Caenorhabditis elegans: one gene and its partners. The protein of the gene in region 1 interacts with the protein of each later gene in a pairwise test. Each region holds a gene or a part of one and is shown in the gene's direction. Other genes may lie near its edges.

Region 1 (9,635 bases):
TTGGGTCAGTGGAAGTGAGAATAATAGAAAATTCGATAGGAGTGACGTCATTCGCAGTGAAAATTACTTCGATTCCTTCGTCGTTCAGTTGTTGGAGAATCTGAATCGTCGGAATTTTAAGTTTTTGCGTCGAAATATTTGAAGTCGACCGTTTAAACTACTTGACAACAAAAATGCGTTTGTTCTTTGAGAGATCACGGATCACAAGAGCTTGTATGGATTACTGTACCTTCTGACACCTCATCTGATCGGTGAGCTGTTTTCGGTGTTGAATTGTGTTCTGTCTCCGTATACCCTTATGATGTTGAGTCTCACAACTCGCTTGGTGCACCAAACTGTAGCGACGTGGATTTTTGGAGTTCTCGGCTACTTTGGTGGCGATGACTGTGACACCGCGAGGTTCTTCCTCCTAGAAATTGAAAAACTCAACTTTTCTATGTTTTTGAACTTTAATGGCTTCTATTTCGATTTTCGTTTTCTTTTTTTTTAATTCGCAAAAAGGTCGGATTTTCAAAATGATCACTTAGGGTGTTAATTCTAAGTTACCATGAAAGTATTGTTGGTTAGTGACGACATGTTAATTGAGACGTTCCTTGCGACGTTCACCGCCGCAATTAGTTTTGACAATGGAGACGACACTTCTGAAGGGTTACTGTAGATGGTTAGACGGGTATTGAGAAAGTTATTGGCCGAGAACTGATAACCCAGCATATGAAAGTGAACACAGTGATTGTTTTAGTAAATCAATAGTAATTGCAGTGTTACGTGACTCAATTTAGTTAGTATGTACGTTTTGTAGAGGTACTTTCAAACATTATTTAGAATGTTAGCGTATGAAAAATTAGTTGGTAATGCGTTATAATGTGCCAAAACTCAAAGAAAACACTAAAATTTGAAAATTTTCATGAAAACTTCCTAGAATATATATACACACATTCCACTTGAATAACACATTAACTGTTCGACTTCTCATACTATTCTTTTTTACTATAGATATTATAAAAAGTGTGTGTTGATGAGGTTGTCTGAGAATACAACACAAAGAACATTGTTTTCGAGGTCAAAATATCAGAAAAATCACGGAAATTCTATTTTTCAAGTTTTTAATTTTTAGTTACCAGGGAGACCACGTTGAACTAGAAAAACGAACGAAAGCCTAACGAATACCTGAAATATATTTGAACAGAATTTACGTGATCCTCTCCAGAGCCCCGCCTCCGCATATACCGCAAAAACATTTCCTCTTCCAATTTTTCAAGGGGTCCCCACGCCAACAACGACAGTGAGAAGAGATAATTGTTGCTCCTGTTGCTGTGTTATGGAGTACTCTGAAAGAGAGACACCACATTTCCTTCCGTATCAAATCATCATTGCATACTTTGGAGCATATGAATGTGCATTGTTATTGTGTAATATAGCATTGATTCCATGGAAGGAGTTGTTCAGGTGAAATGCACTTTTTGAAAAGCACGGGGTACTGTAGATATGACGTGGGACGATTTTATACTGAATTAACAAAAGGAGAAATGAAGACAGGTGTGACTTCACATAGTTTTTAAATAAAATTTCCGGGTTATTGGAGATCTTCTATGGTTCCTATTCCAAAAATTTGACTTTTGTCAAGTTGTTTTATTATAGTTTTTTTAAATGTCTATTTTTTGAGACATTTAAATCGGATTTTCTTTTTGAGCATAAATTGATTTATACAATGTCAGGAAAACTTCTTATTAACAAGATGAAATTCGACGCTTTCACGATCGCCAACGCTAGCCCAATTTTTGTCGGCCGCTTGTTGTTGATTACCAGTCAATTTTGGATATGAAGATCAGATTCTCAAGACGGACGGAAGTAAAAGGACATTGGACAAGAATCAAAGGTCAAGCTCTGGAGTTTGTTTCAATGGGAAACCTATAAACTCTAGCCTGAATGCTCCCAGTCTATAAATTTTGGAAAAAAGATCCCTTCGGGGATCCGAAAACTTCTTATTCTGTATGTATGCCTTCTATTAGTAAGGCATGCGATACTATTTTCCGGACACTTCAATGAAGTGACTTCATTTGATTCAAAACTAATAAAAACAAATCGGTTTGCTAAATCAAAAGTTGTAGTTTGTAGTCTAGCAGGCCCAATCTTTTCCAAAATTCACTAAATTTTGAGCTGTTCGAGTCTGAAAACTGAACATTTTTTTAGTTTTTAACAAAAAAAAACCATGGAAAATCGAAGCTTTTAAATTTTTTTCAGCTTTTGTTGAACTGAAAATGGAAAATTTTCAAATTTTGCCATGAAAATTGCTTGATTTTTTTATTTTTCAGCATGAAAATAAAACATTTTTCGATCAAGCACGTTCTTAACAACACGAAATCAGTTGAGAAGTCTCCGTCTAGTCTCCGTCTCTGATCAAACCTACATGGGACAGTCTGTCACCACGTGAGTTTTTTCACTGAAAAAGGCCAAAAAATTTGAATTTTTCTAATTTATGAGCGAAAAATGTTTATTTTCATGCTGAAAAATAAAAAAAAATCAAGCATTTTTCATGGCAAAAATTTAAAATTGTTCCATTTTCTGTTCAACAAAAGCTGAAAAAAAATTAAAAAGCTTCGATTTACCATCGTTTTTTTTTCGTTAAAAACTAAGAAAATGTTCAGTTTTCAGACTCAAACAGCTCGAAAATAAGTGAAGTTCAGAAAAGATTGGGCCTGCTAGACTACAAAACTACACATTTCGATTTAGCAGACCCAAGTGGAAGTTGGCGTGTATTTTCTCTTTAAAATTGAAATTTTTTGAAAAAAAACTGATGACGTTGTTGAAATTTCCGTATGTCCTCTAATAGTTTTGCATAAAATTAATTTTCGGGAAAATAGTAGCGCTTGCCTTACTACTAGAGGAAATATATTTAAGTACGGTATAAGAAATTTTCGGATCCCCGAGGGGATCCTTTTTTCCAAAATTTATAGACGGGGAGCATTCAGGCTAGAGTTTACACTCAAAATAATAAAACTGCGTGGCGTGTACTGCAGAAAACCTAATATTTAGGCCCCGCCTTTTTTTCGTCCACTCACGGGGAAAAGGCAAAATTCGGGGACCAACCAATATCAGGCCGCCGACATCTCATGGGTTCCGCGCGCCGCTATGTTTAACTCGCAGCGGGCGGAGACAGCTTGCCACACCCACAACGAGTTAAACATAGCGGCGCGCGGAACCCATGAGATGTCGGCGGCCTGATATTGGTTGGTCCCCGAATTTTGCCTTTTCCCCGTGAGTGGACGAAAAAAAGGCGGGGCCTAAATATTAGGTTTTCTGCAGTACACGCCACGCAGTTTTATTATTTTGAGTGTATAGGTTTCTCAATGAAAAACCATCTCCAGATCTTGATCTTTGATTCTTGTCCAGAGTCCTTTCACCTCCGTCCATCTTGAGAATCTGATGAACGTACCGAAAGTTGACTACTAATCAACAATCCGCGGCCGACAAATCGTGGGCTAGCGTTGGTGATCGTGAAAGTGTCGAAAATCTTGGAACTGTTCCTCACATTGTATAAATCCATTTATGCTCAACAAGATTATCCGATCCAAGTTTCTCGAAAAATTGTATTTTTCCCGTCTTTTTAACATGAAATTCACTTTTTCAGAGTAGTCATAAATTAATTCCCAAATTCACTAAAATCGTGCGCACTACTTGCGAAAACTGCGCGTGCCGCTTGCCGAAAGGGCGGCCGCTCGATGGAGCGTGTTTGCATCGCTTTGAAAAAAACATTTTCGCGCTTTTCGGCCACTGATTTGATTTCTATTTATCGATTTTTCGTGGAATACGCTGATTTTCCTGCAAAAACGCAAATTCTCTGAAAATCTACGATTTATTGCAGAGATCGAATGAAATGGATCCGAATAACTTGCAAAATAGCCTAAATGGGACTGGAAATCCCAACTTTCAACCGGTTCAAACGAACGCCGGCGGATTCGGACATCAAATGGCTCAAACTGGAGCTGCTGCAGCTGCCGCCGCTACCGGCCAGTACAATCCGATGTTGTTACAGCAGCAATATTTGAATTTCGGATTTGGAATGAATTATAATAATCAGGTAGCGGCTTTGGGGGATTTTTCATGAAATTTAACCAAATTTTTTCAGCTTTTCGACTTTCAAGCTCAACAGCAACAGCAGCAGCAGTACCTGATGCAACAACAGCAGCAGCAACAACAGCTTCATCACCAGCAACAGCAGCAACATCAGAATATCGCTCAGCCGCAAGCCCAACATCATCAAATGAACATGTTCACACAACATCAGATGCTTCAATTGATGCAGCAGCAACAACAACAGCAGCAGCAACAGCCAGTTCAGCAGATTCAAAGGCAACAGGTGCATAGAATATCTGAAAGTTCGGAAAAAATCCGCTTTTCTCAGTTTTGCAGTTAAAAAATTAAAATTTTTCAATTTTTCCAGCCAATCGCCCAACCAATACCACAACACACAATTCCACCGTCAACCTCGAATCAATTTCAACAGCAAATTCAGTCGGCGGCTTCATCGATTTTCGACTCATCAGTGATCTCATCGCATCAAAAACTGTACGAAGAGCAGTGTCGACAAATTGAAAAAGAACGAAAAGAGCAGGAAGAGCGAAAACGGAAGCAAGAGCTCGAAGAGCAGAGAAAACGAAATGAGGAGTTGAAACGATTGCGGATTGCTGAGGAAAAGCGGCTTCTGGAGGAGCAACAGAGGCTCCGAGAGCAAATGGAACGGGAACGGTTGGCAGAGATCAAGAGGGTGAGATTTTGGATTTAAAAAGCTGGAATTGTGGTTGAAATTCGGACCAGATCCTGGATTTCCACACTAAAAATCTGAAAAATCCATTGAGAATATTTTTTTAATGCCATTTTGAAACTGAAAACCCCTTTAAAATCGAAATTTTTCACGAAAAACTCTTTGAAATCCCCTCCCCCCCCCCCCCCCCTTCCAGAAACGCGTTAATTATTGATTTAGGCGGTAAAAGTAATTTGAAAAACTGAAAAATCTCTAAATTTTATCAAAAAAGTTGGAAAAGACACTTTGCAATCGATTTTTAACAGAAAAATTTGAAAATCACGAAAAAAAAACGTTTAAAAATCAACGAAATGTAATTCAGCTTTGTTGTGCAGCCATTTTTAATCGAAAAACTCCTAAAATTATGTTTTTTTTTCAGCTAGAAGAAGCCGCCCGTCTCGAAGATGAACGCCGTATTGCTGCCGACATCGAAGCTCAAAAACAAGCGATGCTTCAAAAAATGCAAGCCGAACAGAATAAGCATATCGCAGAAGTCGAACGGCAACGGAGTGAACTGGAAGAGCGATTCGCAAGAGTTTCTCAGCCGATGACACTTGTTGGAACTCATTTTTTACCGAATTGTAAGGGAAATCATGGGATTTTAAGAAAAACTAGATATTTTTACTGTTAAAAATTTATCTTGATTGAAAATGATTTCAAAAAATTCAATTTTTGGACAAAAAATACAGAAATCTAAGAAAAATTGCAATTATCATATCGAAAAGTGTAGTTGTGCAATAGGCTTGATTTTATTTTTCCCAACTTGAAAATAATTAAAATTCAGGGCGAAAATCGAAATTTGCTTGTGAATAAATCATAAAAAGTATTTTTAATTTGTATTTTGTAGTTTATAGTCTCCGTAGCACCAATAATCACCTTTTTTCAGTCCTCGACATGATTCCATTCCCATATGAAAGTATGGTTGATTCTACACTTCCACAAGTATTTGATATGGAACGAGATAGCGCAATTCTTGAATCATGTGATCCTCAAATGGTCGCCACAATTAGTAATATCCTGAATGCCACTAATATTGATGATATGTAAGTTGGAATATGGAAATTTTTTGTTTTTTTTCTGAAAAAGTGGTGTAAAAGTCTAAAAATCTGTTCAGAAGAAAAATTGCTGTAATTTTTTAATTATAAAAATTATCCGAGTTTTGAAGACTTTTAGAACTAATTTTTCTAAATTTTCAAGTATTCTTCTTTTTTTTTTGGAAATCTGGCTCGTTTTTGAGACGTAAGTGCACATTCATAGAATGTAGATACCAGCGACACTAATTGTAAGCCATTGCCGATAATTATTGGTTATTGACAACGTTTATCTGGAAAATGACATGCTTATTTCAAGTTTTCAGAAAATATTCGCCTAAAATCATATATTTTGATTCAAATCTCTTCAAAATCACTTGGGTCTGCTAAATCGAGAGTTGTAGTTCGTAGTCTAGCAGACCAAAAAAAAATTTAATTCAGAATAAGTTCTGTTACAACTGTTTTAAAAGCGTTGCTCAAACTACAAACTATAAAATATTTCACATATCTCTTTTCTTCCAGTATAACTCGAATGGACAAGCTCCGTCCTGACGACAAAGAGACAAATGATCTATTCCTTGACAAACTCCCGCCAATAATTCAAGCAGTCGTCAATTATAATACAAGCGCTCTCGACGTGGATTCGCATAATGACATGGAATTGTTGGAGAATGAGGATGTAATGATGACTGAGGATATTACAAGAACTACTGCTCCTTCAACGAGCTCCTCTTCGTATAATAATCATCATCAGAATTCGATTGTAATGATGACGTCATCGTCGGTTAGTATGTCAGAAGCAACACAGAGTTCAAGTGTTACTATGAATCATCACGATGTGGACGAGGAAGGACCCGCGCCGATTTCCATTGAAAAGCGCAGGCAAATGATGTCTGTTGGTAAGTTTTTACGGAAAACTGCCAGTTTGACCCTTGAACTTTGACCCCTATATAAGCAGCTGGTTTTTCTACACTACAAACTACAATTTTTCTTTCAGGAAAAGCACCAAAAGCCGGTGGTGGCGGTGGCCAGAATCAGCGGAAGAAGCGTGATATGGTCGAGAATCTGTACGATTCGCTGACCGACAATTTCGTGCCAACAGACACCGGACGACGTGGCAGACGACGTGGACGTGGATCCGACGATGACGAGGATGAGCTGCTTCAGCGGGATCTGAAATTGATTGAAGAAATGGAGAAGGGGGTTAAGCTGCCGGCAAGTGTCACTGGATTCACAACAACCGAGGAGGATGTTCAGCATTTCTTTGGGTCACAGAAAAAGCGAAGAAAGGAGGACAGAATTAGGTAAAAGAATTACACTACAGTGTAGTTTGTAGTTTGTAGTTTGTAGTCTACAATTGGCTTTTTTTTTGCAGGAAAGATAGATCTCCAACTCCAGAAGACGTTATCGAATCGCGGGATGCTGAATGGCAAGAGCGCCTGCGTCTGAAAATGGAACGAGAAAAATCGCGAAAAGCCGACGAGGAGAGCCAAAACGCGTGGAGCCTGCAAGCGCTGGCCGACAACGAGACGTTCACTCGATTCTGTCAGACTGTTGACGGTGTTCTGGAACAGGGCGACAGTTTGGACACTGAGCTGAAAATGCCGAAGAACAAGAAACGAAGATCCGGCGGCGATCATCATCATAAAGGAGATGAGAATTCCGATGAATCGGATGAAGAAGAGGAGATGGATGAGATTGATCCAGATCTACGGATTGAGTTGTACATACTTGAAGAGCTGAGAAGAGGATCCGCCAGATTGAGAGAGAATCATGCCTTGCAGGTGTGTAGTTTGGAAAATTCGATTTTTAGTGCTAAAAACTCGAAAAATTGCAGTCTAGCAGCTTCTAAAAGCGTAGAATGTGACCTGAGCACAGATTTTATGTGCTAAAAAATCAAAATTTTCCATTAGAAAAATCCAAGTTTTAGTGCTAAAAATTCTAATTTTTTCAATACCATTTGGGTCTGCTAAATCGAAATTTGTAGTTTGTAGCCTTGCAGACCAAATACTTTCAAATTAACTAGGGTCTGCTAAATCGAAATTTGTAGTTTGTAGCCTAGCAGACCAAATCTCTTGGGTCTGCTAAATCAAAAGTTGTAGTTTGTAGTCCTAGCAGCACAATTTCAAAATCGAACATTATTCTACTAAAAGTTTGCCAAATAAAAAAATGCAGGCCGTCGGAGCAGACAAACTACTGAAACTCGTCGCAATGCTGGATCGTAACATCCGTGACGCCATCTCGGCCGACAATCAACGTCTTCTCGTCCCGTGTGACGATGACGTGGATGTTGGTGACGTGCTCGAAAAGGAAATCTGCGAGGAACGAGTGAAACGAGCATCCGACGCTGCCGTTGTAGCACTGAATATCATGTCGAGTCATCGAATGCACAAACAAGTTATCATAGAGGATGTCATTGATCGATGTGTTGGATTGACTCGTCTCTTGCTTATTCATTTAATCTACCCAGCGTCGGATAGTATCTACAAATCGGTTAATTCTAAGAAAAAAGGTGCATTTTGTAGTTTTAAGCATCTCCATTAAAGGAGGACTAACGGTTTGACCAATTTGAACGTACAGACCCAAAATGAGCTCAAATAAACGAATTTTGTAATGAAAATTCTCAAAAACTTTCCAAAACATTTTTTATGGCGGTTCAAAATTTCGAAAAAATGACACTGATTTTAGCTTGAAACTTGAATTTTGGACATTTTCCGTGCCTCATCTGCCCGAAGTTAACTTTTTTGGAATTATCATCCTTTATTGCATATTTAGGTAGTTTATCTCATTTAATTTCGTTGATTAAGGTATATTTAAAGCCAATAGGTAACCAATTTCGATGATTTTTGGTTACCTATTGGCTTTAAATGTACCTTAATCAACGAAATTAAATTAGATAAACTACCTAAATATGCAATAAAGGATGATAATTCCGAAAAAAGTTATCTTCGGACAGATGTGACACGGAAAATGTCCAAAATTCGAGTTCCAAACTAAAATCAGTGTAATTTTTTCGAAATTTTGAACCGCCATAAAAAATTTTTGGAAAGTTTTTGACAATTTTCATTACGAAATTCATTTGAGCCTATTTTGGGTCTATGAGTTCAAATTGGTTCAAATTTAATTTCAAATTTTGCAGACCGTGCACCAGAAGAAGCTCGTCGTCGAAAGAAAGCTGGCGTGTGCACTCGCGATAAGTTCAGCGAGTACATTTACGAACGAATAACCGAAGCAATCGGTCTGCTGGCAGTTTTAGTGAAAAGTGAATCAATGACTGATACTTCCGTTCATAATGTCGCATCTGTTGCGTTGACGCCGTTCTTTGTTGCAAATGTTGGATCACTGCAGATTACTGTAAGTCAGGCGCTGCTACAACTACAAACTACAGTTATTTTTTTAGGCAATGCTTCTCGCGTCGAACATCTTCTCCCGAGCCGAGGATTCTCTTCGTTTTTCGATGATCACCGATTTGTTGTCTTCATTGCACAGAGCTCCACAATTTACTCAAAAGAATTCGAATAATGGATATAGCCTGCCGGATGGCTCATGGATTTCAACGACGACGGCTCTTTTCATACAGCTTGTTCAGTCGACAATCAAGATTCCGAAATTCAAGAAGCACGCGGATGAGGATGAATTGGCGAAGCGGTCGAAAAAGGAGGAGGCTATGGTTAAGGAAGGATTTTTGAAGGTAATATATTGAAAAATTGATCAAAACGGACTTTTTTTTCATTTTTGATGCTATTTTGTAGTTCGTAGTTGGTAAAAACTTTTTTAAAAAACAGTACTAATAAATTCTCAAT
Region 2 (8,549 bases), on another chromosome or scaffold:
AGAACTATAAAGCAGGGAAAATCAAGAAAAACATTTCGTCGATGAGATCAATGAGTGAACAAATTAGATGAGTGAACAAATTAGAATTGGTACAAAAATGAAACAAAAAAATCAGAAAAGTATTTTTCCGAGCTATTTCGAAATTATTAAATATCTATCAGTTTAGCAATAGATAGTTGTGAAAATTAATCAAGTTTCAATGTTTTAGATGGCTTCAACATCAACCATTTCCTCGTCATATTCAAACGACTCTTCATTAAGATCCTCATCAGCAGCGTAACCAATCTCCATACTTTGATTATTGATATCTTCTCCGTCGTCCAACTCATCAGAATCATACTCATCCCAATCAGATTCCTCCACCTGTCCATCCTCTGAAACATCGGAAGTTTCTGTGTCAGTAGCGTCTTCCATGTGATCAATGCTTCTGGACATTCTTTTAGTTGGGAAAGAGTAGACAATACTTCCAGTTCTTTCATCTTTCTGTTTCTTGATCAAATAACGAACAAAGACGACATCAATCATATTCGAAACGTCAATCATGTAATCCTGGTACTTTTCAATGAAGTACTCCGAGAGTTCATCGAAATGAAGATCAGGTCCAACAGGCTCCAAATTTGGGATAACTCCTTCGGGCAATGGCTGCTTTAGATCCTCTCTAATTTGAATGATGCGCTCATCAGTTTCAAAGTACTGGAAGAGATTACAGAGACTATCATATGAAGTAAGCATGTTTCCAAATAGAGCTTTTGAATTTTGAATGAACGTTGAGTACTCGGATTTGTAGTTCGTGCATTGTTTGGAATGAATAATCACTTCGGCTTCTTCGTTGAAACGTTCCATACACATTCCACACTTCTTGCACTCAGATGCTTCATACAATTCAGAAACACGTTGAGTCATCATTAAAAGACGATTTCCGTGCATGTGCATGTGATACTGAAAGTAGAAAACAATTGAATTTTAATTTTACAAAGATTTGACTTACATTCAAATCGCGTTTTGCGTTTTCGAGACATTCATCAATATGCTGAATAAATGGGATTTCCGAATCGAACTTTGAACTGCAATCTGAGCACTGTAACTTGTGGATATCTGAAGAAACGCTATTAGTCAAGAAATTGGATTAGGTTGTAGCTTACTCAAGAAACTGCGACAAGTGTTGATGTTTATTGGAGTTCTCCAAATGTCGAAAATTCTGTGAGGAATGCTAGTGACGGGAGTCATTCTGAAAATTGTCAAATTAGGGCTGAAATTAGGATTTTAAACAATATTATGAATAAAAGAAACAGATACTAATACAACAAACAAACAGAAAACTTTTAAAAAAAAGTCAATTATTTGGAACAATGATTAAACTGTTTCAGATCACAACCTGACATTCCAAAACGAGTGAATGAGGAATAACTGACTATATTGGTTTACACAAACTGGTAGGCTCCACCCTTTTACCAGCAATATATTGGTATCGATTGTTCATTTTAGCGTCCCATATCGTCTCATAGAGCATCACATTGCCACATACTGGATCACGATGTGGGAAATTTCACATGGTAGTCTACCAACAAACAGATTTACGGTAATTGTAAATGGGGAAAATGAATTATAGAAATACAGAACGGAGTATCTAATCGGCTACATGTCATATTGACACTTTGTCTTCCGAAATGACGATACTTTCAAAACCTACTACTGTACTATAAGAAACTTGTTAATGTACCAAGAAAGACAATGAAGACAATCAAATAAATAAAACACAAGGGAGGGATTATGGGTATTTTGTTTTGCATGATTGGATAATCGAGTAAGGATCTGTATTAGAGTTAGTTTGCGACATATATATATATATATATATATTTTATCAATAAAAAGGTAAAACTGATATGGCATATTGAAGCATGTATTGAACCTCTAAGTGTTCAAAGGAAAGCTTACGTATAATCAGCAAAAATGAACATTAATCGAAGGTTCACGCGATTCACATTTGCATTTCATGATTTTTCTTAAAGATTCTAAGATACATGTTATAATGAGATTTTGGCGTCAAAAATGCTCATTTAAAAAAATCCTATTTACATGTCCGTGTTTGTGAAAAAACTACTTGAATAGATTTAAACACAAATACACTTTTTAGTACATTTGCAATAATTAAACAAAATTTGAAGATGAATATCACATATAATTAAATATATTCGCTATCTGTGTTTCCAGAGCACAACTATTGTTTTCAAATCTCGCGTAACTCATTTCTAATTGAAGTCAGACTAAAAGTGTTCTTTCTCGTTGATGTATACTTTTTTATCGATAAATTAAGTAACTATTTGTTGTAAATGCGCAATTTTTTTTGAGAAAACATCAGTTTTTGTCACGAATTGATTGGTAATATTTTCTGATCGAAGTAGGTACAAATCACTTTTGACTTTGATTGAAACCCATTTTTTATAAGACAAAACCGGCAATTGCCGAAGTTGCCGATTGCCGGGAATTTTGAAAACCGGCAATTGCGGGAATTGCCGATTGCCGGAAATCAGAATTGCCGGAAATGTAAAGTTGATACTTCTTTGTAGATTTACGAGCCTAAAGAGGCATTTCAATGAACAATTTTCTCTTTTCAAGCTCGAAATGTTTTAATCCTACAATGATTTACCATTTTATTTAAGAAAATGACTGATCGAATACTATAAAACACTGTGAACATTTTCACTTTCCAAAATATAATTAGGTTTGAAAATTGCCGAAAATGTCCGGCAATCGGCAATTTCGGCAATTTCGGCAATTGCCAAAATTGTCCGATTGCCGCGCAGCCCTGGTTGAGAGGACACTTTCTTGGTAGACAAAGTTTATTCTTTATTTTTTTGGAAACAGTTTTTCAGAAGATAAAACCCTTACGAAAAATAGAAAAGTGAAAAGCAGAAACAGTTATTTTTCAAGAAAACGGCGGGGAACAATTTGAACAGTCAAATAAAATCTCCGATTTTTTTTTCTTTATTGATTTGCGTTTGTTCAAATGATTTTAGTTATAATTTTATAATTTTAATTCGTATCTTTACCTAAGGATCCTTACAACCTGATTCCGAGAAACAAGTAAAACTTAATCATTACTCAAGCATAACTTATTGATTCAAACACGCTAATAATAGAAGAATGAAAAATGAATGCGGTCTCAATAAGCAGAAACTTGAAAAGTTCACCACACGTGTCTTTCTTTGAGTATCTTCAAGAAAAATCATAACATGTGAATCTGAAACATACGAACTTTCGATTGAAGTTCAGTTTTTAAATATAAAATCTTCGTATTTATATTAAAATGCATGTTTAAGCTCAATTCATGCTTTGATCTTCCATTTATCAGTTTTAATTTTGTGAAAATATATATGTCGCAAACTGTACCCCAGCTTAAATACAAATCTTAAGTCCATCATCAAGTGTTACAGTTCAAAATACCCAAAATCTGTCTTTTTTGTTGTAACTAATTTATTGTTTCCATCGTCTTTCTTGGTAAATTTCTTATAATGCACTAGTAGGTTTTTGAAAGTATCGTCATTTCGGAAGACAGAGTGTCAATATGACATGTAGCCGATTATCTGTTTTTTTTATTCATAATATTGTTTAAAATCCTAATTTCAGCCCTAATTTGACAATTTTCAGAATGACTCCCGTCACTAGCATTCCTCACAGAATTTTCGACATTTGGAGAACTCCAATAAACATCAACACTTGTCGCAGTTTCTTGAGTAAGCTACAACCTAATCCAATTTCTTGACTAATAGCGTTTCTTCAGATATCCACAAGTTACAGTGCTCAGATTGCAGTTCAAAGTTCGATTCGGAAATCCCATTTATTCAGCATATTGATGAATGTCTCGAAAATGCAAAACGCGATTTGAATGTAAGTCAAATCTTTGTAAAATTAAAATTCAATTGTTTTCTACTTTCAGTATCACATGCACATGCACGGAAATCGTCTTTTAATGATGACTCAACGTGTTTCTGAATTGTATGAAGCATCTGAGTGCAAGAAGTGTGGAATGTGTATGGAACGTTTCAACGAAGAAGCCAAAGTGATTATTCATTCCAAACAATGCACGAACTACAAATCCGAGTACTCAACGTTCATTCAAAATTCAAAAGCTCTATTTGGAAACATGCTTACTTCATATGATAGTCTCTGTAATCTCTTCCAGTACTTTGAAACTGATGAGCGCATCATTCAAATTAGAGAGGATCTAAAGCAGCCATTGCCCGAAGGAGTTATCCCAAATTTGGAGCCTGTTGGACCTGATCTTCATTTCGATGAACTCTCGGAGTACTTCATTGAAAAGTACCAGGATTACATGATTGACGTTTCGAATATGATTGATGTCGTCTTTGTTCGTTATTTGATCAAGAAACAGAAAGATGAAAGAACTGGAAGTATTGTCTACTCTTTCCCAACTAAAAGAATGTCCAGAAGCATTGATCACATGGAAGACGCTACTGACACAGAAACTTCCGATGTTTCAGAGGATGAGCAGGTGGAGGAATCTGATTGGGATGAGTATGATTCTGATAAATTGGACGACGGAGAAGAAGATATCAACAATGAAGGTATGGAGATCGTCTACGCTGCTGATCAGGAAGTCAATGAAGAATCGTTTGAATTTGAAGACTTTGACGAGGAAATGATTGATGTCGAAACCATGTAAAACTTCTCAATTTAAAGAACAAATTTTTGTTTTTGTTACAAAGCTACCATTGCTGAACTGAGTTGTGCTCAGTAAATTTGAAGTAATTCCGTTTCAGAAAATAACTTATTTTTTGCTCCATTCTTGTTCCAATCTTAGTTTATTCACTCATTGATCTCTTTGACTTAATATGCTTCTTGATTCTCCTTCTCTCTTGAATAACTTGCTTTGTAGTTTTTTGTTTGTTTGTTCACTTGTTCACAGCATTGCACTGCACCTTTCTTTGCTTGATTGTCATTGCCTTAATGATTTAAAACCGCACTTTTACAATAGCATGAAATAAAATCACTTTTTACATTTCTCAACACACAAGTTCTCAAATATTACAAATGTAGAAAATATGCAATTTTATCGAAATGAGGCAGCATTTGCATTGACATCGTTGAAGAGTACATATTTTTATTGTTGTATGATTGTTCGATCTAAACTTCAGACAATTGTTTAGCAATCAGAAGTTTAACAACATAAATCATGACTCTCCATGCTCCGTGATCAGGAAATGACCCTCTAAACAAGTTAATGATTTGAAATGGTTTATGGGGGAATAATATAAACTTTATTTGTTTTCATCTAGACTTGATAATATTTGTGTGTCCTCCCGAAACACAACAACAATGCCGTCTGGTGCCCCTTCGACCTATACATAAACAAGGTCACGATCAATAAATGTGACGTGTCGAAATTTTCAGAAATGTGTTATTCATCTAACAGTTGCAGAACTTTCCAAGTTTTAGAAAATTAATAATAATTTTTGTAAGTGTTCTTTGGTATAGAGAGCATATAGTTTTTTCTGAGAAAAAACTTCGAACAATGTTTTTTTCACTTACAAAAATTTAACAGAACCTGTTGGCTTCAAAGGTATATATTTTTAGTCGTGTTTCTCTGTAAATTAACTTCTTTCAGTTAAATATCAGGCAGTACAGTCTTTGGGAGAACACTTTGGAATCAACTCAACTCAAAGTATTAAAAAAATTAACAATCCGGCCAGCGGCTCTTAGAAATTAATTTTAGAATTATTTCTGCCTTTTAGAATTATTTCTGCCAATACGAAAAGTCGTATTTTACTTTGCAAGAGTATGTAGTGAAAAGTTGCAACGATTTTTCAAAAACGGAATTCTTTTCCGAAAAAATATTAAGTATGCTCAAAGTATTACTCGTTACGCTCTGTCTGTTTCTTATAAACTGCTGTACAATGCTTGCCTTGCCTTTTAAGTTCTGAAATGTAAAAAATTAAAAAAAAGTTTTCCTCGAAGACTGAGAGCAAGCATAATTTTCGCATTTACTGGATGTCTTGATGTCATTCGTATGTACCTCAATCGTATCCACAATTTTTTTATTTTTAATACACACCCCTTATCAATTCGGTGTGACTACTTGCCCAATAAACAAAAATCATACCCACGTAGTACTCTCCAATGGCTGTCGCTTAAATTAACTGGGCAAGAAAATTTAGGCGAAGGGAGAGATACTGATGCTGTGGATAAAATATATGAGAATTTTATTGATTGTTTGAAAAATGAGTGAGTACATTAAGTTGACACAATTAAACCTAACCAAGAAAATATTCAACTTAATATTGTGCTAACTACCTCAATAATTCAATGCAATGAAGTTTGATGTGAGCAGAGTAGGCAGTTGGGCAAACTGAAAGTAGGACAAACTGTGCATACGGCTACCAATCTTGTAAAAAAGAAAAAGACACATCAAGAGTAATTATTTCTTTAAGTGCTATACTGATTTTTAATCCTTTTGTGATTGCAATACTATTAGGGATTAGAGATACAGATTGATTTTCGAGAATTACAGTTTTTTGGTCAGGGTCATCTTCAATTTCTTTTTCAGAGTCTGCCTTTTTCATTAGGATTAGCTATACAGGACCAGCGAAAAATTATTTTCTGACAAAAATTGAAAATTTTCGCAGTTATTGCATTTTTTTTTCCAATTTGTAGAAGCAATTTTGTCGGTTTTCCAAGCCTTGGACAAAAAACAACAACTTTCTACGAAGAAAAAATCTAATTTGAGATTTTATGTTTGAAAAATCTATTCTTCAAATCAAATTTCATTCATTTTTCTTATGGAAGTTTATTATTTTTAATACGTTTAATGTATCCCGGATATTTTTCGGTTTTAAAATATGTGTTTTCCTTCAAACAAAAAAATTCCGAAAAAAAACTCATTTTTTGCGACGAAGCCTCCCTGTTATTGCGTTGTTCTTTTTTTGAAATCCTAGGTCAATAATAAGGACGTGCTACTTGAGTTTTCATAGAATTCCGGTAAGTTTTTATAGTATCGTAATTTTTTAATGCTGATTAGTTTCAGTGAGTAGGGGGAGCGTGACTTTGTTGTGCTTATGAACTTTCAATGATTTTTGTCGCTCGTTCATTTTACCGCTCGGTTCCGTAAGATGATATTTTGGCTGAAATCATTGTGACCAATGAAATTATTAAAAAAATAGTGATTACCACTATTTTCTGTACTACAGTCTTTGTGCCACGGAGATTAATATACTCTTGACCGACTTACTACAGCCGGAGGTGCTTCCACAAGTTCATGGGCTGATAAAAGGTGTCATGCAAGTCAATAAGGCCGTCTACAACTGTTTTACATTATGCTCTTGTGTGTAAGATTCTTGCAGGGTAGTTCCAGAGTGTCTGATAAATGACGAGAGCAGGCAAAATACATTTCAACAAGTCATTTAGGATCAGATGCTATTTATAGCTTTCAAAGATCAGAAGAGAACGGTTTTTTTGGTTTTAATTTGGTTGTATCATAATCCGTCGCTTCCTTTTGATGACATTTGGAACGGCGATTAGCGAGTTAGTAGATGTCGAGAACGAAGTGAGTAGACGAGTAGAAGGCAGCGCGGGGAGAGTGGGTTCGAACCAACGACCCCCATGTGGGTCGGCATGGAACCAGCGCCTTGTACCACTCGGACGCCCCCGCGCCGGAAGTGGTCGGGTAATACTGTAGGAGTACTGTATGATTACTGTAGTTTTCATACTCGATATGTTCTCAATGCTTATCATTTTTATTGGAAAATTACCCCTCCCCACACCAGCTGTATGATTTTGATCAATACTTCTCTTTAAAAATGTGCTGATTTGAAGGCCCCAAATATAATAGAACAGCAAAGTCACCAAGGGATTATGATAAAACCAGATCTAAACAAGATTTCAGAGGAAAAATGTGGCATCTCTTGCAAATGATAAATCTTTTGAATAACACAATTTAAAAAAACTCAACCAATTGGCCTCCTGTTTTCTTTGAATGAAAAAATTCTTCGAGATCTCAAAAGGAATGGGCCGAACCGGGGATTGAACCCGGGACCTCTCGCACCCAAAGCGAGAATCATACCACTAGACCATTCGGCCACATTTCCCAGTAGTTTCTATTGAATATACAAAGCGAGTGTCTCTCAAATCTCCCGTTCTAACACACACACACACTCTAGTCGTCTGTCTGGCTAACTTGACGCCTGGTCACTTTTTTCCCATTTTCCTCTTCTGTCTCTTAACGCATATGTTTGCGGATCGGACAAAAACGCGAAATAAATCATGAAAAATCAAAAAGGATTGCGGTAAATCTGAGCGTGTGAACAGGCTCTTTTGATTGTGTTAAGAGATGATGGGGTGAGAAAAGGTGGGAAACGTGTTTGAGAAAGGGCTTTTCAAAGCGAGGTGGCAAAATGGCTCAATTTCAATCTTGCTCGTTTTGATTTGCTCATCTTTTTATCGGCTTATCTTTGTTGTCTATAAAAATTTTTTCAAGTTTTTGTCATTTTCAACAAAATTCCACAGGGTCCATCCCAATCTAGAAATGGAAACTA
Region 3 (12,681 bases), on another chromosome or scaffold:
TTTTTCAGAAAATCGGCATTTTGCTTAAAAAATTTTTTTTTAATCGAAATTGATTCAGAAAATTTTTAAAGGGATGAATAAAATAATATTCTCCAAAAATTCCCAAAAATTTAATGGGGTTATTCAAGTAATGTAGCAAAATGTATTAAAATACATTTGTGACGTCAAAAATGTATTTAAATACATGTTTTTTATATACTTGAATAAGGTTGTGACGTAATTTTTCTACACTTTTTAATTTTCCGACACTACTTGAATAACCCCATAAGGAAAAAGGCAAATTTTAAGCAAAAAGTGATTTTTTGAGTGATTTTAAGACATTCATGGTAAAGCAGAAAAGTTCGGTGCATCTATTCACGATAATTTTCTTAATTTCCACCTTTTTACAGCGGTCCAAACGCACAACAGACATACACAGGAGCCCAGTATAATAGGCTGGTGGAAAAGTTTAAAAAGGTGCGGTAATCTCAAATCACCTCGAAAAAATTAGGACACCTTTTTTCAGGAGGTTGACAAAGCAGATGAGCTCGAAGCGGAAAAAAGACAATTAGAAGCAGAAATGGTCAGTTTGAAACGTAATTTCGATAGCCAGTCTGCAGAACTTGTGAAGAGTCAAAATCAAGTTCTGAAACTCGATTTAAACGTGATGAGATTGGAGGCTAAACTAACATCCTCGGACGCGAATCTTGATAGAGCAAAGGACGAAGTTGAGACAGCCAACAGACGTCAGAAAAGAGCAGAAGATGACGCCAAAGATGCTCGTGATGAACTTGAAAAGGAAAAGAACGCCAATAGGGCAAACAAAGCCCTTGTGGATGAATTGCGAAACGCTGCTGCACAGACGACAAACGAAATGAGAAGTCTCCGAAACCGCCTGGATGAATGCAATAATCAGAGAAATGGACAGACGACAACCACAACACAAGATGGTTATCCGTTTGTGTCGAATCAGCAGAATCAGCCAAGAGCATCAAATACTAATCAAGGATTGGACAGAGTTGACGTCATTTTTGTGGTGAGTGCATTTTACTATTTGAAAAATTGCAATTTTCGCGTTTTTTTTCCTCAAAAGGTCACAATCTCCACACAGTTTTGTATACAAAATTTTGTAGCGAAAAAATTCTAGAAATAGCCATTAAATGGGCGGAGTCTGATTCGTTTTGAAGATTTCTCTTTACATGTTTTTTAAAGAGCTCCGGCCATTTTTTGAAACAAATTCAGTTCGAGATGAAAATGCTAGATACCAATAAATGGGCGGGGCCTCTTGGTGGATTTGCTTCCAAGGAGTCATAAGTATCGTTTTTGAGATTTCTCTTTTAAATGCCTTCTTGTACATTTTTGGCCAACAAATTTGCCCGTTTTTCAAAATTGAAACGAAAACATTTCGAAAAGGCCAATAAATGGGCGGGGTCTCTTGGGAAATCTATTTCCACGGAATGAAATCTCCGAAAAACCAAATTTTCGCCTATTTTCTGCCAAAATTGCTTCCTTCCAACTGTTCCTCCTTAAAAATACCTAGTTTTGTAGCGAAAAAACCCCGAAAAAGTCAATAAATGGGCGGGGTCTTTCGGGAAATCTATTTCCACGGAATCTAGTATCCGAAAATCTCAAATTTCAGCCAAATACCAACGGCGACCAAGGAAGCATCCAATTCGGAAATGGCTCGCCAAATAATGGTCGTGGTGGTGGACAATACGTAACTCCACAGCATCTGCTCAACCTGCTTCAGCGTCATTAAGCTATTTATTCGAGTGCCTACATTCTTTGTTTTTCAATCTAATTTATTTGTCCTATTCTTTTCATCTTATTCTTTTTCTGTTTTCTTCTAAATAAATGGTTTCAATCGGGAAAGCAGCTCACACATGTCTTCTGGTATTTGCCTGAACTCTCCATTTTTCACACACTATTTCTCCTTGGCTCTCCTCCCGCCGAAACAAAAACATAATCGACTTCATATGTCAGATAAAGCTGCTCTCTCAGAGCTCTTCAGTCAAACATTCCCCCATCCATTCAATCATGAAATTTCAACTGATTCTTCTTCTTCTTCTTCTCCAAATTCTGATTATTTTCACGGCTCTCAGCGGCTCGGCTCCAGTCAAATGCACATGCAACGTGGATCCGGACACTGGCATTGCGTCGACGATTTGTGAAGGATTGACAGAGGCTCTCGACAAGAAATCGCCGGTTTTAGATTAAATTCGAATACTTTTTGCAACTTTTGCTCCGTCTCAATAAAGCTGTAAAATAAAATAAACCAAACCTGTGAATATGCCATTTGTGTAACTTTCTGTAGATCATCTTGTGCTCCAGTTGTGATTCGTCCGAAGAAGATCTCCTCGGCGACGCGACCTCCGAGTGTCATGCACATTCTGAAAAATTTTTAAAAATTTTGAAAAATATCGAAAAATTAAAGGTTTTCTTTTGCCAACAAAATTTGGCTCTTTTTTTGGTAAAAAATCGCAAAATCGAAAAAAAAACAATATTTTTTGAAATATGCATAATTGAAAAAAATCAGAAATATTGATTTTGAATTGAAAAATTTCAGCTAAAAATTTATCAGTACAGTGAAATCTTTTGGGAAAACATCCTAAATGAAGGGAAAGATTAAAAATTTTCGAAAAAATTCAATTCTCTGAATAAAATATTAAGATTTTTATTATTTGGGGAGAAAAAGTTAAATTAGCTTTTTTCCTATTTGTTTGAGCTTTTTTTTTAAATTTCGAACTAATGTCGACTTATTCCTGGTTCAAAATTATGATTAAAAAAAATTAAATTAAAAAATTTTAGAGTGCATATCCGCCGCCAAAGCTTCATAAAAGTGAAATTTTGGGGACCTTTTTGCTTAAAAATCACGTTTTCGTGATTCAAAAAATTCCAGAAATCACGATTTTGCACAATTTGTAACTACGATCAAGCAATAAGTGTAATATTGTCGGGAAAATCTCATAAAAGCACTTTTTGATACTATAAATATCCAGAAATCACGATTTTAAAGTGTTTCCAATCGCGATTTTGACAGTTTTTAACAGTTTTTTCTTGGAAATTTTTTTGAAAAATAAAAACTTAAAAACTGCATCATCATTACCGATCAAGCAACTGATCCTTTGAATACAAGTATTGCTCCTTCGGCAAATACTGTGCATATCCGAGACCCTTTCCTCGTGGAATAATAGAAACCTTCAACAGAGGATCCGCATGCTGTAGGAACCATCCAGCAATAGCATGCCCAGCTTCATGATAGGCTACAGTCTTCTTCTCCTCTTTCTGCAAAACCTGCGTCTTCTTCTCCATTCCAGCGACGACTCGTTCGATGGCTTGTTCGAAATGTTTATTTGAAATCTCGTGATTCGCATCTCTCGCCGCAATCAGCGCAGCCTCATTGCACACATTCGAAATGTCGGCTCCAGAGAATCCTGGTGTATGGGCGGCGAGTTTTCGTGAAAGCACAGTCTTGTCGAGGGAAGTCCGAAGTGGTCCAAGATGAACTCTAAAGATTGAAGCACGACCTTTGATATCTGGAACTGGAACATAGATCTGTCTATCAAAGCGACCAGGTCGGAGGAGTGCCGAATCGAGAATATCCACACGATTCGTGGCGGCAATCACAATGACCGACGATTCATCAGTTGTGAATCCATCCATCTCAACGAGAAGCTGATTCAGAGTATTCTCTTGTTCAGAGTGTCCACCCATTCCACCTTTTCCACCACGTTTTCTTCCAACTGCGTCAATTTCATCAATAAATAGAATGCACGGAGAGTTCTTTCTAGCCATTGAGAACATGTCACGGACTCTTGCAGGTCCTACTCCGACGAACATTTCCAGGAATTCGGATCCCGATACAGTGATGAATGGAACATTTGCCTCGCCGGCGGTTGCCTTCGCGAGAAGTGTCTTTCCGGTTCCAGGAGGTCCTGTTAGAATGGCTCCTTTCGGAATTTTCGCGCCAAGATCCTTGTACTGCTGGGGGTTCTTCAGGAAATTCACAAACTCCATAATTTCGATTTTTGCCTCTTCACAACCGGCAACATCGGCGAACTTCACCTTGATATCTTCTCGATTAATGACTCTAGCCGTGCTTTGTCCGAATCCACCAAACATTCCACCGAGTCCACCTCCACCAGCTCTTCCGGCTCCGCCAGCTGCTCCACCGCCTTTCAGCATTCGATAGATGTAATAGCCGAAGAGAAGAGGGAATGCGACGCTGATGAGGTTTGGGATTTCGCGTTTGCTGAAAAAAAAAGGTTTTTAATTGAAGTTTGGGGGAGTTTTAATGTAAAAATGCCTGAAAAATTGGATTTTTTCAAATTTTTAGTGCAGAAAATCAGAAAAATCAGAATTTTAAAAGAATTTTAGTGCGAGAAATCAGCTAAATTGCGTTTTTTTTTGAATTTTTGTGCAAAAATTCAACAAAATTGATATTTGTTGGAATTTTAGTGCAAAAAAATCAGAAAAATCGGATTTTTTTTTGGAATTTTTAGGCAAAACACAGCCTAACTGCGATTTTTTAAATTTTTTCTGCAAAAATTCAGCAAAATTGATATTTGTTGAAATTTTAGTGCAAAAAAATCAGAAAAATCGGATTTTTTTGGAATTTTAGTGCAAAAAATTGGCTAAATTGAGTTTTTTTTGGAATTTTAGTGCAACAAATCAGCAAAATTTTTTTTTTTGAATTTTTTGGCAAAAAATCAGAAACATCGGATTTTTTAAAAGACTTTTAGTGCAAAAATTCAGCAAAATTGAGATTTTCTCGAATTTTTAGGCAAAAAACAGCCTAACTGCGTTTTTTTAAAAATTTTTCTGCAAAAAACCAGCAAAATTAATTTTTGTTTTTGAAATTTTCAGGCAAAAAATCAGAAAAATCGGATTTTTTTTTTGAAATTTTAGTGCAAAAAACGAGCAAAAAGCAACTTTTTCCATAATTTTTGTGCAAAATTTTCATTTTCAGTGACTTTCTGAAGGTTTTCACTTTAAAAACAAAATTTTAACTACAAAAAATGTGAAAAATTAAAAGTTTTTCTGAATTTTCATGCAAAAATTATAACTTTTCCCATTTCCCAGAGCTTTTTCTTTAAGAAAATCGGGGGTTTTTTCTTTTTTTCTCTAATTTTTCTTGAAATGGAGTGATTTTTGCAGAAATCCTTACAAATTGAATTCAGATTTATATAAAACCGGAATTTGTCGATCAGCATCATACTGGAGATGATGCTGAGCAGCTCCGAGGCTCCGTTCGAAGCTATCCACACTTCCGATGTTGAAATAGCACGTTTGCTGAAAGAAAAAAATTCATTTTTTCACGAATTTCAGTGCAAAAACTAAAAAACTAACTCCTGCATACTTTCCAGACGAGCTAACAATTCGAACCCATCGCTTATCAACTACTTCAAGTCTCTCGACAAGTCCAGCTTCCAGGAAATCACTGTAAAACTCCTTCCAGGAAATTTCACGATACGACTGATAATCCATAAAGGCGTAGAGAGCGAGCAGAATTCCAACTGAAACGGCAATTTGTTGCCATCCTCCTGGGCTGAAAATTGGAGGAATTAGATTGATTTTAAGGGGTTTTAGAGGTTTTCTCCGTTTTTTTAAAGGTGGACTACGCTCAGTGGGTAAATTGCTTTAAAACGCGCCTATGGGGTCACATTGACCGAATATCATGATATTAAAATTCAAAAAAATTTTCCAGATTTTATATGATTTTTTGAAAATTGGAAAAATCACAGTTTTCACCTAATTATTTTTGAATTTCCGCCAATTGAATTTGTTCGGTGGAGCGCACTTGCATTATTTTTATTTATTAATTTTATTTATTCTCGTTATTTGACTGATTTTCTTCATTTTCTATGTTTTTTCCTCGGAAAATGGAAGAAATAAAAAAGACAAATGCAACATTTTTGTTAAAAAGTAATTGAAAATGAGTAAAACTGTGATATTCTGAGTTCCGACGGCAACAAGCCTGAAATTAGTATATTTCACAGTTTTACTCATTTTCAATTACTTTTTAACAAGAATTTTGCATTTGTCTTGTTTATTTCTTCCATTTTCCGAGGAGAAAACATAGAAAATGAAGAAAATCAGTCAAAGAACAAGAATTTAAAAAAATTAATTGATAAAAATACTGCAAGCACGCTCCACCGAACAAATCCAATTGGCGGAAATTCAAAAATAATTAGGTGAAAACTGTGATTTTTCCTATTTTCAAAAAATCATATAAAATCTAGAAAATTGTTTTGATTTTTTTCACATCGATATTTGGAATGAGAAGAAAATTTGGAGACATTTGAAAATATTTTCCAGATTTCGGTACCCCACTTTTAAATCTTAGAAAAGGTAAATGTGCTCAAAAGAGGCACCACGTTTTCAAGATCTAGCCGGAAACGAGATCTACGAAAAGGAGGTCTACATTTTCAGGATCTGGCACCATGCCAACTGCGGTTTTCGCAGTCTACTCGAAGAAAAAGCAACGATGCTCCGATATTACGCATCGCACGTTGTTTAGTCAGAAAAACCTTTTTTGAATAAAAACTTCTGAAAAACGCTAAACAACTCGCGATGCGTAATATCGGAGCATCGTTATTTCGATTTTCTTCGAGAAAACTGCGAAAACTGCACTTGGCACGGTGCCAGATCCTGAAAACGTAGATCTTCTTCTCGTAGATCTTGAAAACGTGGTGCCCCGCTCAAAAACATCGTGGGCGGAGCAAAAAACCGTGCCAGAATTGCAAAAATGGGCGTTTTTTTGTTTTTTTTTTCTCGGAATTTTTTTTCAACGATTTGGAAAATTCGTGATTTCATTAAATTTTGAATTTTATTGAAATGATTCCGAAATCCCGAATTTTCGATTTTTGAAAATCTGGAAAAATGGAGAAAATGCTAAAAACGCCAATTTTTGCAACTCTGGCACGGTTTTTGCTCTGCCAATAAAACTTTTTAAAAAAACTGCTAATTTTAGCTAAAATCACCAATTTATTTTAAAAATATTGGATTTTACAAGTTTTTTCCGGATCTTTGGGACAATTTTTGCCAAAAAGTTCAAAATACGGCCCGGGAAACCTGTAAAAGTCAATTTTTTGAAATACTCCAAAGAAATTCGACTAGAAATGATTTCCGGGGCTTCTCCGAGACTTCAATAAACAAAATAACGTGGTGAAAAGCATCTAAATGATGATAATTTGGGCGAAATTTCAGATTTTAGCCAAAATTAGCCGATTTTTGTGTCTATTCCTCCTCACAATTGATTAAACGGATTATTATCCTCTCCCTTATTTCCTTTGCTGTCCTTTTTGTCAGAAGATGATGAAGATTCTGGAAAAAACTTCGAATTAATGATAATTTCCCTCTGAAAACCTTTATTATCCGTCGATGCTTCCTTCCTGAAGAACTTTTTCAAATCATTTGGTTTCGAGGCGAAATATCGAATTGTCTGCTGTACTTGATTGAAGAATCGCTCTTCAAATCGCTGATCTTTTGCGAGAAGATGCAGAACTTCTTGTTGTTTTAGCACGGATTTCTGCAAAAAAATTCAGAATTTTCAGTATACTGGCAGGCGGTAATATTACATCATCTTTGGCTACTGCTGAAAATGAGCTGACTGAAAATTGGCGGGAATTGACAGATTTGAAGCATGATTCGACCGAATTTCTCAGCTGCTTCGGCGTTTTTCGGTATAATCGCCACATTTCTGCAATAGAATTTAATTATCATAATCATGCACTGCGCAAACAGTGAGAGATGACGAAATCTTCGATTTTAAGATTGAGGAACGAGGGAAAAAATTAAAAACAACCAAATTTCAGCCGTTTTCTACTTTTTCGAATATTTTTTCTCGAGAAAAATGTTTAAAATTATGCAAAATACAAGGAAAAACCATAAAGCTTCAAAAATACTGAGCACTTTTTAGAAAATAGCAAGCGCGCTCCATCGCACAAGACAATGCGCGCGTCGTTTGAAATTAGTTTCCAGTGCACAGAGCCATGACGCAAAAGTGAACGATTAGTTTGCGAAAGTACTTTGAGAAATTTTGGAAAGAAATTGGCAAAAAAAACGTTGTGAAATTAAAAATCAATGTGAATTTCCATGGAAAACAGGCATTTTTTGGGCAAATGTTTTTTTTTTGAGAAACTGACGGTATTGGTAGATTTTCAGTGTGGATAATCTATGGATTTTATTATATACTGAATTAAAATTCATTAAATAGTGTAAAAACATAATAAAATTGTGAAAATCAAACCGGAATCACGGGAAATTTGATTCAAAACATTGAAATTCGATGACGAAATAAACAAAGGTCTTACTGTAGTTTTTAAAGGCGCAAGCACATTATCCTCCTTGAGACTTGAAGCGAAAACGCTTGAAACTCAAATATTTGCAAAAACATTAATTTTTCCGGATATAAATTGTATAAATTGTTTTTCCTTAATTTTAAACGAAAATTTCAATTATTCGACGATTAAAAATAACGAAAATTTAAAAATATTGATTTTTCTAATTTAAAAAACTTTATTTTTCAGAATTTTCGAGAAAAATGGATGTTAATGAAGAACTCCCGACTTGCCCTGTGTGCCAGGAAGAATTTGGTGAAAAATATCCCAATTTTTATTGTAAAACAAGCACATTTTTATTTTCAGATGATCAAAAGGCTCCATTCATCATATCTTGTGGCCATTCTCTATGCGAAACTTGCATTGTGCACTTGAAAAGCGATTATTCTGACGCATATGGATCTGGTGGCCAGACACAATGCCCGACATGCCGCGTATGGCTTAAATATATTGATATCTGTTTAAAAATAAAATAATTTCAGGCCGTGGTTAGCAAGGAGAAGCGAACAAAAAACTTTGCATTGACAAGTTTTAAAAATATTCATATTTCCCGAAAAAAACTATTTTTCAGATGCTGTGACCATGATCCAAAAGCTTCGTGAGAAGCCAAAGAAGCCTGCAAATGCAGTGGACTGCACTCAATGCACCAAATACGACAACGAATCGGAGTAGGCCTCTTTTAATTAGAAATAACAAAAAAATTCAATTTCCAGCATGTTCGTCTGCCGCAATTGCGTCACTGATGCCTTCAAATACGACGTCGTGGAGAATTTGGGTGCCGAGGTCCGGAAAATATCCAATTTCAAAAAAAAAAAAAAAATTGAAAAATGATTTTTTAAGGTGGATTTGGATATCAAATCGTTGGCGCTTTGTGGAAGTTGTGCACTGCGATCTCATGTCACACAGGGCCACGAGACTGTGGCTTATTTCCCGGTTGCGGTATATTTAAAAAATTTATTTGTAAAGAAAAGACTTAAAATTGTAAATTTTCAGTCCGGAATGAACTTCGCAAGCCAGCTTACAAGTATTTCTCTTCTGAGAATTGAGCTCGAATCGTCGTTTGGGCTCACCAATGCGTGGTATGCTCGGTTTGCATCGACATATAAGACATTCCACACGGTGATTTTGATTTGATATTTGAAATCGATGTGCGCGGTCAAAATTTCGATTTTTCGGATATTTTCAGAGATAATCTAGGAGAAAAAATGGAAGAATACTATGAATTTATCAAAAAAAAAAGTGGATTTCGATTTAAAAAACTAATTTTTCTTCGGAAATTAGTGAAAATTCAATTTTTTTTCCTCGGAACACGAAAAATCGTTTAAAAAAATCGAAAAATTTTGATTTTTGAAAATATTTGGTGACAAAATCTTTGAAGAAGTTTTCTGTTGCTTTTCGTGATTTTTACGGAAAAATGACGTTAAAAATGCATTTAAAAACAATTTTTTCATCAATTTCGACATAAAACAATTGAAATTCGAATTTTTTGAATTTTCCAGTTTTGCCGCCATGTATACCTAACGAGACCGATAATTTGGAGGCGGAGCACATTTCCACGTTGATTTTTAAATTTTAAGGCGCATTTTTCTGCGTCTCCATATTATTTTTTCAATCAATAATCAAATAATTCCAGGAGCTCGACAAGATGACGGATATGATGAGAAAAAGCAAGTCTAGTGATGTCCAAGAGGAGTTTTCCAAGAGAATTGATCAGGAAATCAAAAGAATGTCAGATTATGTACAGTCTGTGTGCTTGGAAATTGCCAATAAGGACAAGGAATATCAAGTAAAAAATCGTCATTTTTGCGTCAAAAATACGGTTTTGGGTCTCGAAACGAAAGATTTTTGCTGGATTCGAAATGGTGTGCGCCTTTAAATAGTACTGTAATTTTTGTGAATTTTGAACAAATTGACAGAAAAAGTATGGGAAAAACATCGATTTTTCTTCGTTTTTCTGTCGAAAAAAATTCCTGTAATTTCACTTTTTGGAATTTTTTTTCGACAGAAAAACGATGAAAAATCGATGTTTTTCCCATACTTTTTTTGTCAATTTATTCAAAATTTACAAAAATTACAGTACTCTTTAAAGGCGCACACCTTCTCGCCTTCAACAAAAATCTTTCGTGTTGAGACCTGATACCGTAGTTTCGCGCAAAATTTCGCGACTGAGTAATAAATTAAATTTCAGAAATCATTCACTGCTCTCGTGGCCATCAACAAAAAGGACGAGGAGACGAAATGCCAAGAGCCCGTCGAGAAAATTTTTGAGCTCACGTGCAGCGAGTGTATGACCAAGCAGACCGTCGAAAGGTTCTTTAACTCATTTTTTGGATATTTTGGAGCCGATTTTCACAGAAAATTGAAATATTTGGAGCGTCTGCTGAGCATTTTTCGTTATTTTCAATTTAATTGACTGTTTTTTTTTAATTTCTAAAAAATATTCACAATAAAACTCAAAAAACTGAAATTTTCAGCCTGAAATTGTATGTATATTTTTTATTTGCAGCAAAAAAAGATTTTCTATTTTTTCAGACATTTTTTCCGCAAAAAATCGAGTTTTTGGCCAATTTCCGAGAAAATTTGCGCGGGAGTTCAAAAATAATTAACTTTTCTGCAAAATCAAAAAAAAAATCAATATTTTTTCCATACAGATTCCGCTGCTGCAAAACATGCATTGAAGTCGTCGGAAAACTCGTTGACAATCTTCTCGAAACAACTGAAATCGACGCAGTTGACCTTGAAACTCTGCCGATTTGCACGAATTGTATCGTCGATCATCATCATTCTGACGGCGAGCACAAGACTGTCAGATATTCTCAAGTTCAGGTAAAAACTTAATTTTACACCTAAAAAGACCAAAAATTTCTCAAAAAACGCGTATTTTCAGAACTTGCAGAAGTAAATTTTTATTTAATTATCACAATTTCTTACATTTTCGGTCGCAATGCACAAAAATCGACCAAAATGTGTAGTAAAATGTGATAAATAAATGAAAACTGACTTCTGCAAGTTCTGACTTTGTAAAGCTTTCAAAATTTGAGGTTTTAGCAAGAAAAAATGTATTTTCCCAATTTTTAAAACCGACATAATTTATAAAGAAAAAGAAAAATTCGGTAATTTTGGGTAATTTTGTGAACCAGCCTTTATTACGAGAACACAAAATTCTGATAATACAGCATATTTGACGCGCAAAATATCTCGAAGCGAAAACTACAGTAATTCTTTAAATTACTACTGTAGCGTTTGTATCGATTTACGGAAATCATTTATTAAAGCACACTTCGAACAGAAAATTGATTCGAAAATCGAGCCCGTAAATCAACACTACAGTAGTCTTTTAAAGAATTACTGTAGTTTTTGCTTCGAGATATTTTGCGCGTCAAATATGTTGTACAATACGCATTCTCAGAATTAAATGTTCCCATAATAAGAGAAATAATTAATCTTTTTTTTCAGGAAGCCTACACCTCGCTCAAGGTTTTCTCGAAAGTTGAAAAGCATAAAGATGAGATTAATATCAAATTTTCGGCTCTTCTTGACACCTTCAAACATTATATCACACAGTTGGAAGGATATGATGACGTGGGTTTCAATTAAATAATTATCTGAAATATTTAAAAATGTTCAGAAAATCACCAAGATGTCGAAAATCGCAATGGAAAGTCGTGGACATCCGGAACAAGCGGAGGTTGTCAAGGGATTTCAGAACGAGTTGGAGAAGGTTCGGAAACAAGCCTGCCGGGGTTTTCGATTTTTTGAAAAACCGAAAAGTGAAAAATTTTGCGGTCAAATTTGCTCAAAAAAGTGCAATTTCTGTTTTTTTGTATGAAATACGCGTAAACCGTAATAAAAAATATTGCATTCTTGATGAGAAATTCCGATTTTGAAGTTTTTTCAGATTTTTTTTCGGTTTTGCTCAACAAAAAAAAAAAACCGAAAAATCGAAAATTTGTTCGGAAAAGTAAAGAAAGATTATAAGAAAATTTACCATTTTCAGGCGGACCACGCAATTTCTTCTCTCCAATCGAATGCTGATATGAGCCAGACTGTCGTCAGAATGCAGCAGAAACGCCTCGACGCAGTGGAGAATGAGTTTGGAACTACTAGCGACGCATAATTATCCGACTGAGAAATGCTCAAGTTTTAAAGCTATGAATTTTATATTTAAATGAGTTTTCGAATTTTTCGGTCTGTATAACAACTTGAATAAATTAAAAAGTTGAGAACATTTCAATCATGGATTTTCCTGGCAATGGCAACTGCAGAGACGAGCGATAGCGGGATATTCGCCAGCACCCTTGATCGGAAACAAAATATTTTACAGACTTTTATGACCGGATCTTGATAAAATGGGCGAATC

The links.
Region 2: the proteins of scc-2 (region 1) and ZK899.6 interact in a two-hybrid assay, tested with the Caenorhabditis elegans proteins (one large-scale study listed by BioGRID).
Region 3: the proteins of scc-2 (region 1) and Y47G6A.14 interact in a two-hybrid assay, tested with the Caenorhabditis elegans proteins (one large-scale study listed by BioGRID).

The regions. Positions count from the first base shown.
Region 1 is NC_003280.10:249,422-259,056, reverse strand, and holds the start of scc-2 (Nipped-B-like protein scc-2), read left to right. Parts: upstream 1-3,860; 5' UTR 3,861-3,874; coding exon 3,875-4,078; intron 4,079-4,126; coding exon 4,127-4,357; intron 4,358-4,441; coding exon 4,442-4,765; intron 4,766-5,180; coding exon 5,181-5,382; intron 5,383-5,687; coding exon 5,688-5,844; intron 5,845-6,354; coding exon 6,355-6,731; intron 6,732-6,829; coding exon 6,830-7,136; intron 7,137-7,207; coding exon 7,208-7,616; intron 7,617-8,007; coding exon 8,008-8,344; intron 8,345-8,971; coding exon 8,972-9,186; intron 9,187-9,232; coding exon 9,233-9,523; intron 9,524-9,635. Other genes in the region: cat-2 (Biopterin-dependent aromatic amino acid hydroxylase family profile domain-containing protein), read right to left, coding at 1-100, 230-409, 1,194-1,238. UniProt on the Caenorhabditis elegans protein: Plays an important role in the loading of the cohesin complex on to meiotic chromosomes. Forms a heterodimeric complex (also known as cohesin loading complex) with mau-2/SCC4 which mediates the loading of the cohesin complex onto chromatin.
Region 2 is NC_003284.9:9,459,707-9,468,255, forward strand, and holds ZK899.6 (C2H2-type domain-containing protein), read left to right. Parts: upstream 1-3,638; 5' UTR 3,639-3,649; coding exon 3,650-3,734; intron 3,735-3,781; coding exon 3,782-3,888; intron 3,889-3,937; coding exon 3,938-4,684; 3' UTR 4,685-5,035; downstream 5,036-8,549. Other genes in the region: ZK899.5 (C2H2-type domain-containing protein), read right to left, coding at 205-939, 989-1,095, 1,143-1,227.
Region 3 is NC_003279.8:3,462,132-3,474,812, reverse strand, and holds Y47G6A.14 (RING-type domain-containing protein), read left to right. Parts: upstream 1-6,625; 5' UTR 6,626-6,691; intron 6,692-7,232; coding exon of another isoform or gene 7,233-7,305; intron 7,306-7,347; coding exon of another isoform or gene 7,348-7,510; intron 7,511-7,559; coding exon of another isoform or gene 7,560-7,679; exon of another isoform or gene 7,680-7,681; intron 7,682-8,510; 5' UTR 8,511-8,524; coding exon 8,525-8,576; intron 8,577-8,627; coding exon 8,628-8,755; intron 8,756-8,803; coding exon 8,804-8,849; intron 8,850-8,892; coding exon 8,893-8,989; intron 8,990-9,034; coding exon 9,035-9,104; intron 9,105-9,161; coding exon 9,162-9,260; intron 9,261-9,314; coding exon 9,315-9,440; intron 9,441-9,954; coding exon 9,955-10,107; intron 10,108-10,509; coding exon 10,510-10,631; intron 10,632-10,972; coding exon 10,973-11,147; intron 11,148-11,777; coding exon 11,778-11,903; intron 11,904-11,949; coding exon 11,950-12,042; intron 12,043-12,318; coding exon 12,319-12,438; 3' UTR 12,439-12,543; downstream 12,544-12,681. Other genes in the region: Y47G6A.15 (DUF148 domain-containing protein), read left to right, coding at 390-456, 506-1,015, 1,619-1,738; AFG3-like protein spg-7, read right to left, coding at 2,261-2,369, 3,086-4,231, 5,147-5,271, 5,329-5,527, 7,233-7,305, 7,348-7,510, 7,560-7,679.